Neodiprion lecontei: one gene and its partner. The protein of the gene in region 2 purifies or fractionates together with the protein of the main gene of each other region. This does not show direct contact. Links are inferred from orthologs where the notes say so. Each region holds a gene or a part of one and is shown on either strand. Other genes may lie near its edges.

Evidence for each region.
Region 1: the proteins of toll-interacting protein A (region 2) and cleavage stimulation factor subunit 1 purify together in Homo sapiens (co-immunoprecipitation; 3 studies listed by BioGRID and IntAct, with this or other methods). This does not show direct contact. The link is inferred for Neodiprion lecontei from reciprocal best matches to the Homo sapiens genes TOLLIP and CSTF1.

What each region holds. Positions count from the first base shown.
Region 1 is NC_060263.1:36,110,713-36,116,511, reverse strand, and holds cleavage stimulation factor subunit 1, read right to left. Parts: upstream 3,659-5,799; 5' UTR 3,517-3,658; coding exon 3,446-3,516; intron 2,885-3,445; coding exon 1,987-2,884; intron 1,808-1,986; coding exon 1,714-1,807; intron 1,435-1,713; coding exon 1,190-1,434; 3' UTR 636-1,189; downstream 1-635. Other genes in the region: putative uncharacterized protein DDB_G0271982, read right to left, coding at 149-205; ribonuclease P protein subunit p20, read left to right, coding at 3,803-3,979, 4,270-4,438, 4,513-4,622; transmembrane protein 203, read left to right, coding at 4,761-5,174. UniProt on the Homo sapiens protein: One of the multiple factors required for polyadenylation and 3'-end cleavage of mammalian pre-mRNAs. May be responsible for the interaction of CSTF with other factors to form a stable complex on the pre-mRNA.
Region 2 is NC_060265.1:3,483,523-3,487,700, forward strand, and holds toll-interacting protein A, read left to right. Parts: upstream 1-1,621; 5' UTR 1,622-1,800; coding exon 1,801-1,848; intron 1,849-1,994; coding exon 1,995-2,162; intron 2,163-2,300; coding exon 2,301-2,434; intron 2,435-2,596; coding exon 2,597-2,801; intron 2,802-2,921; coding exon 2,922-3,098; intron 3,099-3,176; coding exon 3,177-3,287; 3' UTR 3,288-3,385; downstream 3,386-4,178. UniProt on the Homo sapiens protein: Component of the signaling pathway of IL-1 and Toll-like receptors. Inhibits cell activation by microbial products. Recruits IRAK1 to the IL-1 receptor complex. Inhibits IRAK1 phosphorylation and kinase activity.

The DNA of each region.
Region 1 (5,799 bases), on a different chromosome or scaffold from region 2:
CGAGCCTATAATTGCTTAATACCCGCATACTGGAGAGTTGAGAATTTTCGAGATACCGAGCGTCGCCCCGTATTTGAGGGACTTACACGCCGCCTTGGCATGGAAACTCGGCTTGACGAAGGATTTTCACTGCTTTTCACGTACTTACCTTAGACACATCGTCGACACTGTTATCGTTCTTGGTCTCTGCTTTAATCTCAGACATTTCTTCGTGTCGGAATCACTCAAAAACACACGGAAACCACTGATTTACTACTAGAAATCGCAAGGAGCCCGGTCGCACTGTTTATACGATAAGCAAAGATGGCGGGTAGCGTGGGTCACGTGACCTCGTCAAACGTAGAGCGGGACGAGAGCCGCGCCACCACCCATCGCGTTCCTGAACTATAAACACCCGCGGGTTCGCTTGCGCCGATTCAAACATTTCTATTTCAAACATCATTTCAGCTCCCGCATGCGGCTTTTTCCCGCGCCGCTTTATCATTCGTACTTAAAAATAGTAAGAGCTGCGAAGTAATGTGAATATTTTTGACGCTTCTTTTTCAAATGGTGTACAAAGTATTTTAAACATATTTTTCAAAATTTTCGTGAATACTTCGAAAACTAGTTATGTACTTGCGAATACTTTTACTGTATAGTTATCGAAAAAAAATACATTTGTTTATCTCTAAAAAAAATTTAAAAAACAACAATAAAACGAAATAACTTCAAATTATTAACTTACGATATTGATTATTCCTAGGAATAATTGTTTTTTTTTTCGTTCACAAATATTTGCATTTTATTTATGGAAAAGTTGGCTTCATCAAATAGATGTGGAGGGAAATCAGAAAAAATATATTATTCTGGTGAAACTCTGTTTCCCATTTTCATCTTGTCTACATAAGTGGGATGAATCCAAAGCTTTATCTGTATTCAATTCAGCAATTAATACCGAGATTAAGATTCATATACGTTCTCGGGCCAAGAATTGCGTCTCTTAAAAAGCGAAAATAATCAATGAATTTAGTAAATCAATTGCGAATAAAAAATGAAGGAAAAATAATGACATTGATTTTATGACGATCTTAATGCTAACGTGCAAAGAAATATCAGTACCTTCAATGTCGAAGGGTGAAATTTCCTTAGAATATTTATGTTCCCATGATAAATAAGGTAAGGTCCTAATTTAATTTTTGGTACTCGCACCTCAATGCGTAGGCATTCGCCTGAACCAAAACCTTGCTCTAAAGTCATCGCTGCATGTTAAGAAAGCCGGAGCAGTCGGAGAATGTACAATTAAACGGACAGGGCCATTGTGACCCAATGATAAAAGCTGCTTTCTGGAAGCGTTTCGGGAATTCCAAGCACAAAGAGAGGTTGTAGCCTCATCCGGAAACATCACATAGTCTTCAGTATGATTAAATATTGCTTGAGCTTTGTGCTCCTGTTTTCCTGTGAGAAAAAAATACAAGATATAATTAAAAATGACCACAAGTTATGATTTTTTTCAAAAATGCACGAACTTTCGTTTCGCAGACATAAGCGTGATTTACACTTCGATTTTGACTGAAAATGACAATGACCACTACATTCAACCTTTATTTTGTAAGTAGTTACAATTTTAATCTATTGGTAAATGTGGATCACGCGTAAATGAAAAACTTTGACATGTACCAAGAATTATGATTAACATCTCAAGTGCCAGATCAAAGAGACTCGAAAACCTTTTACCTGTTGTACCAGCACCTGTGTAAGCAATCAAACATCTGCTCGTTGACAGTTCCCACAATTTAATCAAAGAATCTTTTCCAGATGAGAGTAAATACTGAAAATGAATATCAAGAATTTATATTCATATTTTTTACCAAGACACTTTAGTGACATGGGAAAGGACATCCCTGAAATTCACAAAGACAGCAAAGTGTAAATATAATTCTCAGCTGTGTTTGCCTTAGTCACGATTATTGACGTCAGTTTAATTTATAAATTAAAGAAGAAACATACCTTTCCATTTCTTGTAAACGTCACGGAGCAAACCTCGTACCCGTCGTGTGCTTTGACAAAAGTATTTATACACCGATTGGATACACCATCCCATAATTTAATACTTCCATCCTTACCAGCAGAGGCGTAAGTCTTACCGTCCAGACAATATTTAATGCTGGTTATACCTGCCGTATGCTGATGGCTGGGTATACTAGATACAAAGCACTGTGCCGTATTTACATCGTACAATCTAACGACAGGATGATTTGTTCCAACAACAAGAAAATCACCAGTCGGATGAAACGACAAGCATCTGATCTGGTCGGCGTCTGTTATAGTACGAAAAGCTTTCTTAACACTTGCTTTACTGAAGTCAAAGAGCTTGACTGAGAAGTCTCTGCTCCCGGAAACAAGTATTGGCTCCCTGGGATGAAACTCTAAGCAAGTCACCTCCTCCAAGTGATCGTACAGCGTTCTGATCACTGGATGCCCCCCAGTTTGATCACCAGGTGCCATTTCGTCCGGTGCAGATTTGGCCAACATTCTGTCAACATCTAAAATCTTTATCGAGGCATCGACGGAGCCTGTGGCAATTAGCTGTCCATCCGCCGAAAATGCTCCTGCTCTACAATTTCCTTTGTGCGATGTAACATACGCCGTTTCATATTGTGCCGGTTCTGGTGCCTGCGTCTGAGCCTCTGTTTCAAACTCTAAATCTAAACCAGGACCAAGAGTATTATCGACATTGGAAAATGTCGGTAGATTATTTACTTCTTTTTTTGTACGATCTGGCTCATGCGCAGCACCGATTAACATCAAATGCAACAATCTATCTGAAGGTGGGCAAGGCGGCTCAGCTTGTATCATGTTCGACAATTGAACCGCCAGAGTTTGATGACCATCATAGAAAAGTTGGCTGAAAAATATGTTTTCCATATAACTAAGACCACTTTATAGATTAGTAAACACAATTTCATTACTTCGACAAAATGACCAGTCATACGCTTATGTAAAAATGTGTAAACAGCAGGATTTGTGAGACTGTGCCTCTTACAATTTGATATGTAAATGAAAGAGAAAATCAAATCAACTTCTGCCTAATATTGTGATATCACAGTCTGTAATTGTTAGGCAAGGTGTTTCAAGATGTCACTGGGAGTTGGGAAAACTTAGCAAATTAGTGAAGTATTTTTCGCAAATATTCTATATCTGAAAATTTTCTTAGAAAAATCCGATTCCTCCGATATCCCTAATTATGGTGTATAAACTTTCATTGCTGGATACCTTGTCAAATCAGTTTTTCTAAACCCTCTAAGGGACGTATGAAATGACTAGTTTTGCAATAAGATATGAATAACCATTTAGTTAATTATCCGTAATTTTTTTACGAAAACACAAATTGAAGCAATGGTGTCTGAACATAACGAAAACGTGTAATGAGAAGTTTGAAGTAGTGAAAAATTTGAGATTTGCTTACCTGATCATAAGCCGATAGAGCGATTCTCTGCTTTTAATAATATTCTTCGGATCCAAATCTGGCTCCTTCATGTTTGAATGATAATCTCTATTCTCCTTCGGCGACTGAATTTTGCTGGTTTTATTTTTTCAGGCACAAAACGGAATCCGAAAATACGACCAACGACAATTCGTGATTCGCCTCTGTCACCGTCGTGGTCTCTGCGAGGTGAGAGGTTATGTTATGTTGATGCATTTTGCCTGTCGAAGTTAGTCGCACGCATGTCGCACGATTGGATATCGTAATCAGAATCTCAACTCTCTCCATAGGAATTGCCAATCGCATAACCTCCTCTCAGGATACAGGAGAAATGCCACAATGGCTGCTGCGAAAAGCGAAGTTGAATCGAGTCAACAAAATTTGACAGAAAGCTCAATCAAGGACTCTAAGATCAAACTGCGACCCACCTACGAACATGTTATAAGAAAGAGATTACCGCCACGTTTACCGAAAAGTGACAAGGACTTCTATATCACCAACAAAACAAACTTCAAGGTAACCTCAGGCACCCTAACCTCATTTGGTGCGTTTAAATCACATGATGTTCCGTACCATTTTTCAATTATTTTATATAAATATCCATGGTGTGGAGTTGGAAAACTGACAAACACTGTAAACCAGTCTCGTACCTTCTCTTTTCAGCTTGTTTCTGGTAATTACAATTTCCAACGCTCCAGCTATCAGAATTTATAAATTCTTGCTTATATTTTGCACGATTGTTGCTTCATTGTAAACAAGAATATAATTATGCATGATTTCTCATAATACTATCGACTCTGTTTAAGGCTCAGCTGAACAAATGTGAAAAACTACTGGATTCCGGTGAACAAGAAATTGTTATTCATGCTCTTGGTGCTGCGGTAAGCAGAGCTTGCAATTTGGCCTTACAATTGAAAGAAAATCACCATGGCACTGTCGATTTGGACATAAATACGTCGACTGTAGATATAACTGGTAGGTAAAGCTGGGCTAGGATTTGAACATTGAATTGTTGAGTATTAATGGTATAATTAATTTGACTTTTATAGATGATTTTGAGCCTATCACAGATGACGCTGACTATGAGGTAAATCAACGGCAAAATTCAGCCATTCATATTCGAGTGTTCCGCACAGCATTGTTTGAGACATTCAAATAAACACATACTATTAATTTTAAGTGAGTTTATTCAGTCTGAGGTAGTGTTTGGATGTAAGCTTTATATTTTATGAGACAATGAAGAAGCTTAATTTCCATATTTGATATTTGTTTTTTCTTCATTGTGAACTTCCTCAAGATGATATTTTCCCTCAACGAATTAGTGCACTGGCTGGGTTTAACGATATTTGAAATATGGATCAATCTTGTATCATTGACAATATTTACGATTTTGCTAGCCATGAAGATAGATAACAATTATTTCGCAGGCAATGGAGGCTGGTGGATTATATTCTCGCCATTATTTATCGGTGATGGCTTGAACACATATTTTTGTGCAATTATTTTCATAAGAATGCAAATGGATGGAGTAATGAAAAGTGCTATACTTAGAGCACTATGGAGTTTGACTTTTCTTTTGTTAGTTTTTGTTTTCAAGTATTTACTTTGCAAAAAATTGTCAGGTCAAAGCAGTCTGGAATATTCTGAAGTTTTGAGCCCTGTTTTTATTCTCTTACAACTTATTGCTGTCAGGGCTTGTCAGCTTCACTGACCCAGGGCTTTAGATAGAAATGATCCTGTCATAGAATTTTCTTTACAACAATCTTCTGTATATGTTGCAACTGAGCTTATGTACACAATACGATAAACTGATGTAAAGTGCATTAGTGTCTACCAAAACTTTATTTATGGACATAAATAGTTCCCTTAAGTGCGTATTCAAACAAATTTCTCAAACTAATTTTAAGTAAGAATTGTGTTTATTTTTTTCCTTAAGCATTATCATGATATCTCAGATAGATAATTACGTTTGTTATTCGTCAAATATTCATCTCTTATTTCAGTGCTGTTAGAAGTGAAAGAGACTGTCAAATGCTTCAAGTTCCAAACCACTGCTTGGCATAATTTTAACTTTTGGAGCTATTGAAAATTACATTACATTATTTTAAAACGAGTATCCCAGCTTGGTACACTGATATTAAAATCTAAAAGTATTTATACGTGATAAATTTATGCATAAATATTACATCGTTTATTTCGCATTTGATTCTTTTTAATGTATATTGCGCAACTGTTAGCTGTGGCCCAATGCAGTGAATTAAATAATGCAGTATAATGTAAATTAGATTAGGATTAATCTTAATTTACTTAGGTTTTATATAATCAAATATAAAATG
Region 2 (4,178 bases):
TGAACATGCCATATGCAATTATCGGAATTTGAGAGCGTTATCAAAACAAATTATGCACAGCCAAAGTACCATAATATCGATCGATTTAATTAGGATATATCACGGTATTTGGAAACTGAATACTATTCTTTACCCGCTGCAATCACTGTCCATCTCCATCGTATTTAATAATAATAACTATTACGAGAAATTGAGGAAAGTTAAATGATTAATATCAGATTGTTTACAGTCGAATAGGATTGCAAGAGCTATAACGGTATTTATATTATCTAGAAATAATTTGTTTATTACTTGGGAGATGCGGTTGAAAAACATTTGTCTATTGACAACATGTAATAGATTAGCGAGCTGGTGCAGACAGACCAACTTTTAAAAATCAAAGTAGTACTTTACATTGTCTTGTTTGCGGAATTTTTTATACATATGTTGGCATGAAAATTTTTTTCACACACATGTGAAGACTTCACCTTTGACTGGAGCTCGTAAATAGTTTAACTTTTAACTTATCCATACATGTATTTTTGTATTAATTATTTTAAGATTTATGAGATCTACCAAAATTGATCAAATTCTTTAATTATAGAGCGATTAAACCGAATTGAAAAATTTCCAAACAGCATACCTTGTAGTACTAGAGTGTGCTTTTTAATATTGTTATATTGAGTAAATTTTTTGATACTAATATTTGCAAATGATATTTTATGTACATTTTAATGTATTCGAACTGAATAATCTATGTATATAAATATATTGTGCCTTATATATGTTAGATTATATATATACATATATGTATGAATATACATGTATATGTATGTATATAAATAAAGGTATTTCACATGTTAAATAAAATTCAACAGACTGTGTCTTTGTAAAAAAAAAAAAATTAATAAAAAATATTCAAAGTACAGATTGAGTATCAAATTTTAATTACGATTGCCAAAGTTCTGTAACATATAATTACTCTGTCATTGATAATATTTGATAAATTTAAATGAATAAAAAACATCTATCAAAGAAGCTGTTTGAATTATAGAATTAATTCATTCTCAAGATATTCCTTCAAATTGATCTATCGTATCCCTTGCAATAAACATTCAAATTTTTAACATCACAACGAGAACTGCAATAAGTTTTATAAAAATGTGTGATGAAAAGAAAAGTTTGAAATTGAGATTAAAACGTGTAATTTAGTCGGTATTTGTCATCACCGGAATTTCAATCACGTCGGTGAGTGGAAGGTGGGTAGTAATAACGTGTACTAAGAAAATAGTATAATCGTTGTACGCTCAGTGAGGGAGAGGCAAAAGTCACCCTCATTGCTCTGTACTCTCAAGTGAATCTCTCTAATTGTAAGCGACAAACTACGAGGCCTGTTAATTAAAAGCCCCCTGACATGGAATTGAACTCACACATTCACGTACGGATGTGTGCGTGCGTACATTACGATACGTCATAATTTGCGGCCCGCTTGACAATGAACAGACACGGCAAGAACGACGACCTGAACGATACGAAATCACGCGTCAGGAACCTCGTCTTAAGATAAGTCTCGTCACGTGACTTTCAGCTCAGTTTTATACGTTCTAACCCGTTCAGGTGACAGTGCTTGCCAGGAGTCGAAGAGCTAATATCAGCTGATCGTACGTACCTATAGACGATATTTACTACGTCATAGGGTAGCGCAAATACCAAACGTGCTGACAAAGCAGTTCGTGCCGAATATTAAAGGTTTCATTCAGTTTTTACGTCTCGTGTTGCCAGTATCTAGAAGGATAATAGTTTTACGGAAATAATATCAGAATGGCAAGTGTTCAGCGTAACGAATTATACGACGATTGGAAGAAAAGAGTAAGTCGCTAAAGCAAGAAACGCTGTATACTCGAGCATTCGTTCACCGTATGCGTCACGTTCATACCGTCGGAGGTTACTCCGAAATGAATTATTTTATCAAGGAAACCAATCTGTGGCACTAAGATAAACGGCATTGTTTACAGGCATTCCTTGGACCGCTTCCACATGGCTTTCTCAGAGTCGAAGAAAGCCCACGGCAACAACAAGAGGCTGCCGATCAACAAGCCGCTCTGGCGCTACAGCACCATCTCCAAAGTGCACCGCCCGTGGTAGCTGCACGCATGGGCAGACTGAGCGTGACGATTACTCAGGTTGGCGTTTTGCAAAATTAGAGTCCTCGATACAGAGCATCAAATATTCAGTACAACTAGAAAACAACCTATCAGTCGATGATCGTACTACCAACAACAAGAACAACAACAATAATAACAAACCATTTCAAAATACAGGCAAAATTGGTTAAGAATTACGGCATGACCAGAATGGATCCTTACGTCAGATTGCGAGTCGGTCATTCCATTTATGAAACACATACAGATCCAAACGGAGGGAAAAACCCGCACTGGAACAAAGTTTTGCAATGGTAACACACTTGAGGAGCTTCTACGTTTAAACCTTACAAATGATTAGGATAGATATTTTTCACTGATTCTTATCGAACCTGTTGTACAAATCAACTTATGATTTTTTTTCATCAAATTCGGTTTGGTATTATTGTCGTTATTTTAACTATTACTTATTTCAGCTACCTTCCACCTGGGGTAACGCAAATATACGTTGAAATTTACGACGAGTGTTCGTTTATGATGGATGAACTTATCGCTTGGGGTCATATAGAAATACCACCCCAAGTAATTTTGGCAGGAGAGACTCACGAGGACTGGTATCCCCTTAGTGGAAAACAAGGGGATAATCAGGAAGGCATGATTAACATGGTTTTCAGTTATTTGGTAATTTGAAAGGACTGAATTTATCTTTTAAAACTTTGCGTTACCTCGTTGATCCATCAATAACGGTTGGCGCGTTTCTTTTCCTACTATTGATGAACGACGTTTAAATTTTTTATTCAGCCTACTCCTGGTAATCCATACATTGGTCAAACGCCAGTAATGATGGTTCCTTCGACTAATTTATGTGGTATGACACAATATGCACCGGTCAATGTGTATACGACTCCACCTGCCGTCGCTGCTGTTCCAACTGTTGATCCGAGTCAGAGGGCAAACGCAGAAATTGAATTGAGACAGGTAATATGGATTTTGTCAGTGTTGTCATAGAATGTTGGCAAAGTTTAGCGCTAACTGTATTGGATTTGTATTTTACAGATCGCAGAGATGTTCCCAAACGTTGATACCGAGGTCATTAAGTCCGTGTACGATGCGAATCAAGGAAAGAAGGATGTGACAATAAATTCTCTGTTGCAAATGTGCGAATAAATGTCAAAAAACCATTGTCATATTCAAATTGCCATATCTGTATTTTCCGCTGAAGTTGTATTCCATTTTAATTGTAATATATTTATAAATTATTATAACGGTTATTAATTTTACTCTTGTCTTTGTTACATACGTAACTGTTTTAAGATTCATATTTCAAACTTGCAGAAGAGATTTTAATTTGGTGTAATTACCATTGTACTGAACTACATAGGTCTTTAGTTCAAATAGGGTTCATCTCGATTTTATAACTCATTTTACTAAAAATTACGTGCATAAATATAAATATTAATATTTGTATATAATGTTGATTAAATTAATCAATTAAAGAATAATAACAATTTCTTAAAGTTTCGATACTTCAGAAGCTTATAAATCCTACATGGATCAGTGAATCGTTATTCCAATAGTTATCTGCCAATGTTAATACATTAACGTTATCACTAGGCATGTGATTCATTGCTCCCTGAGATATGAAATATTGTTTCCAACTTAAATTGTGTTATTACGAAGAATTATCAGATTCTCCATACTGACATGACTGTGCTCATCTTTACTTGGAATGTCGATCATGCTGATGCGATAACTTATATTAATAGACGTTTACTTATAACTTAAATTGCAATCATTTCATAGATTTGCACGTTTTTAAGCTTTAAATGTGGGATCAGAGCATATAATAAATGAAAAAAAAAAGTTCTTTCCACAGAATACCATACCCCATAATGGAATGCGAGTCCCCTCCTCCCTGCCCCCCAAGGTTGGTGACAATTATTTCAATAATACCTGAATATAAATGGACCCCACTAAGTTTAAGTTGGACAAACATTTTTTGTATTCCACCCAACACCGACAAGCTCGACTTAGAATCGGCAAAAATACAGTATGTTA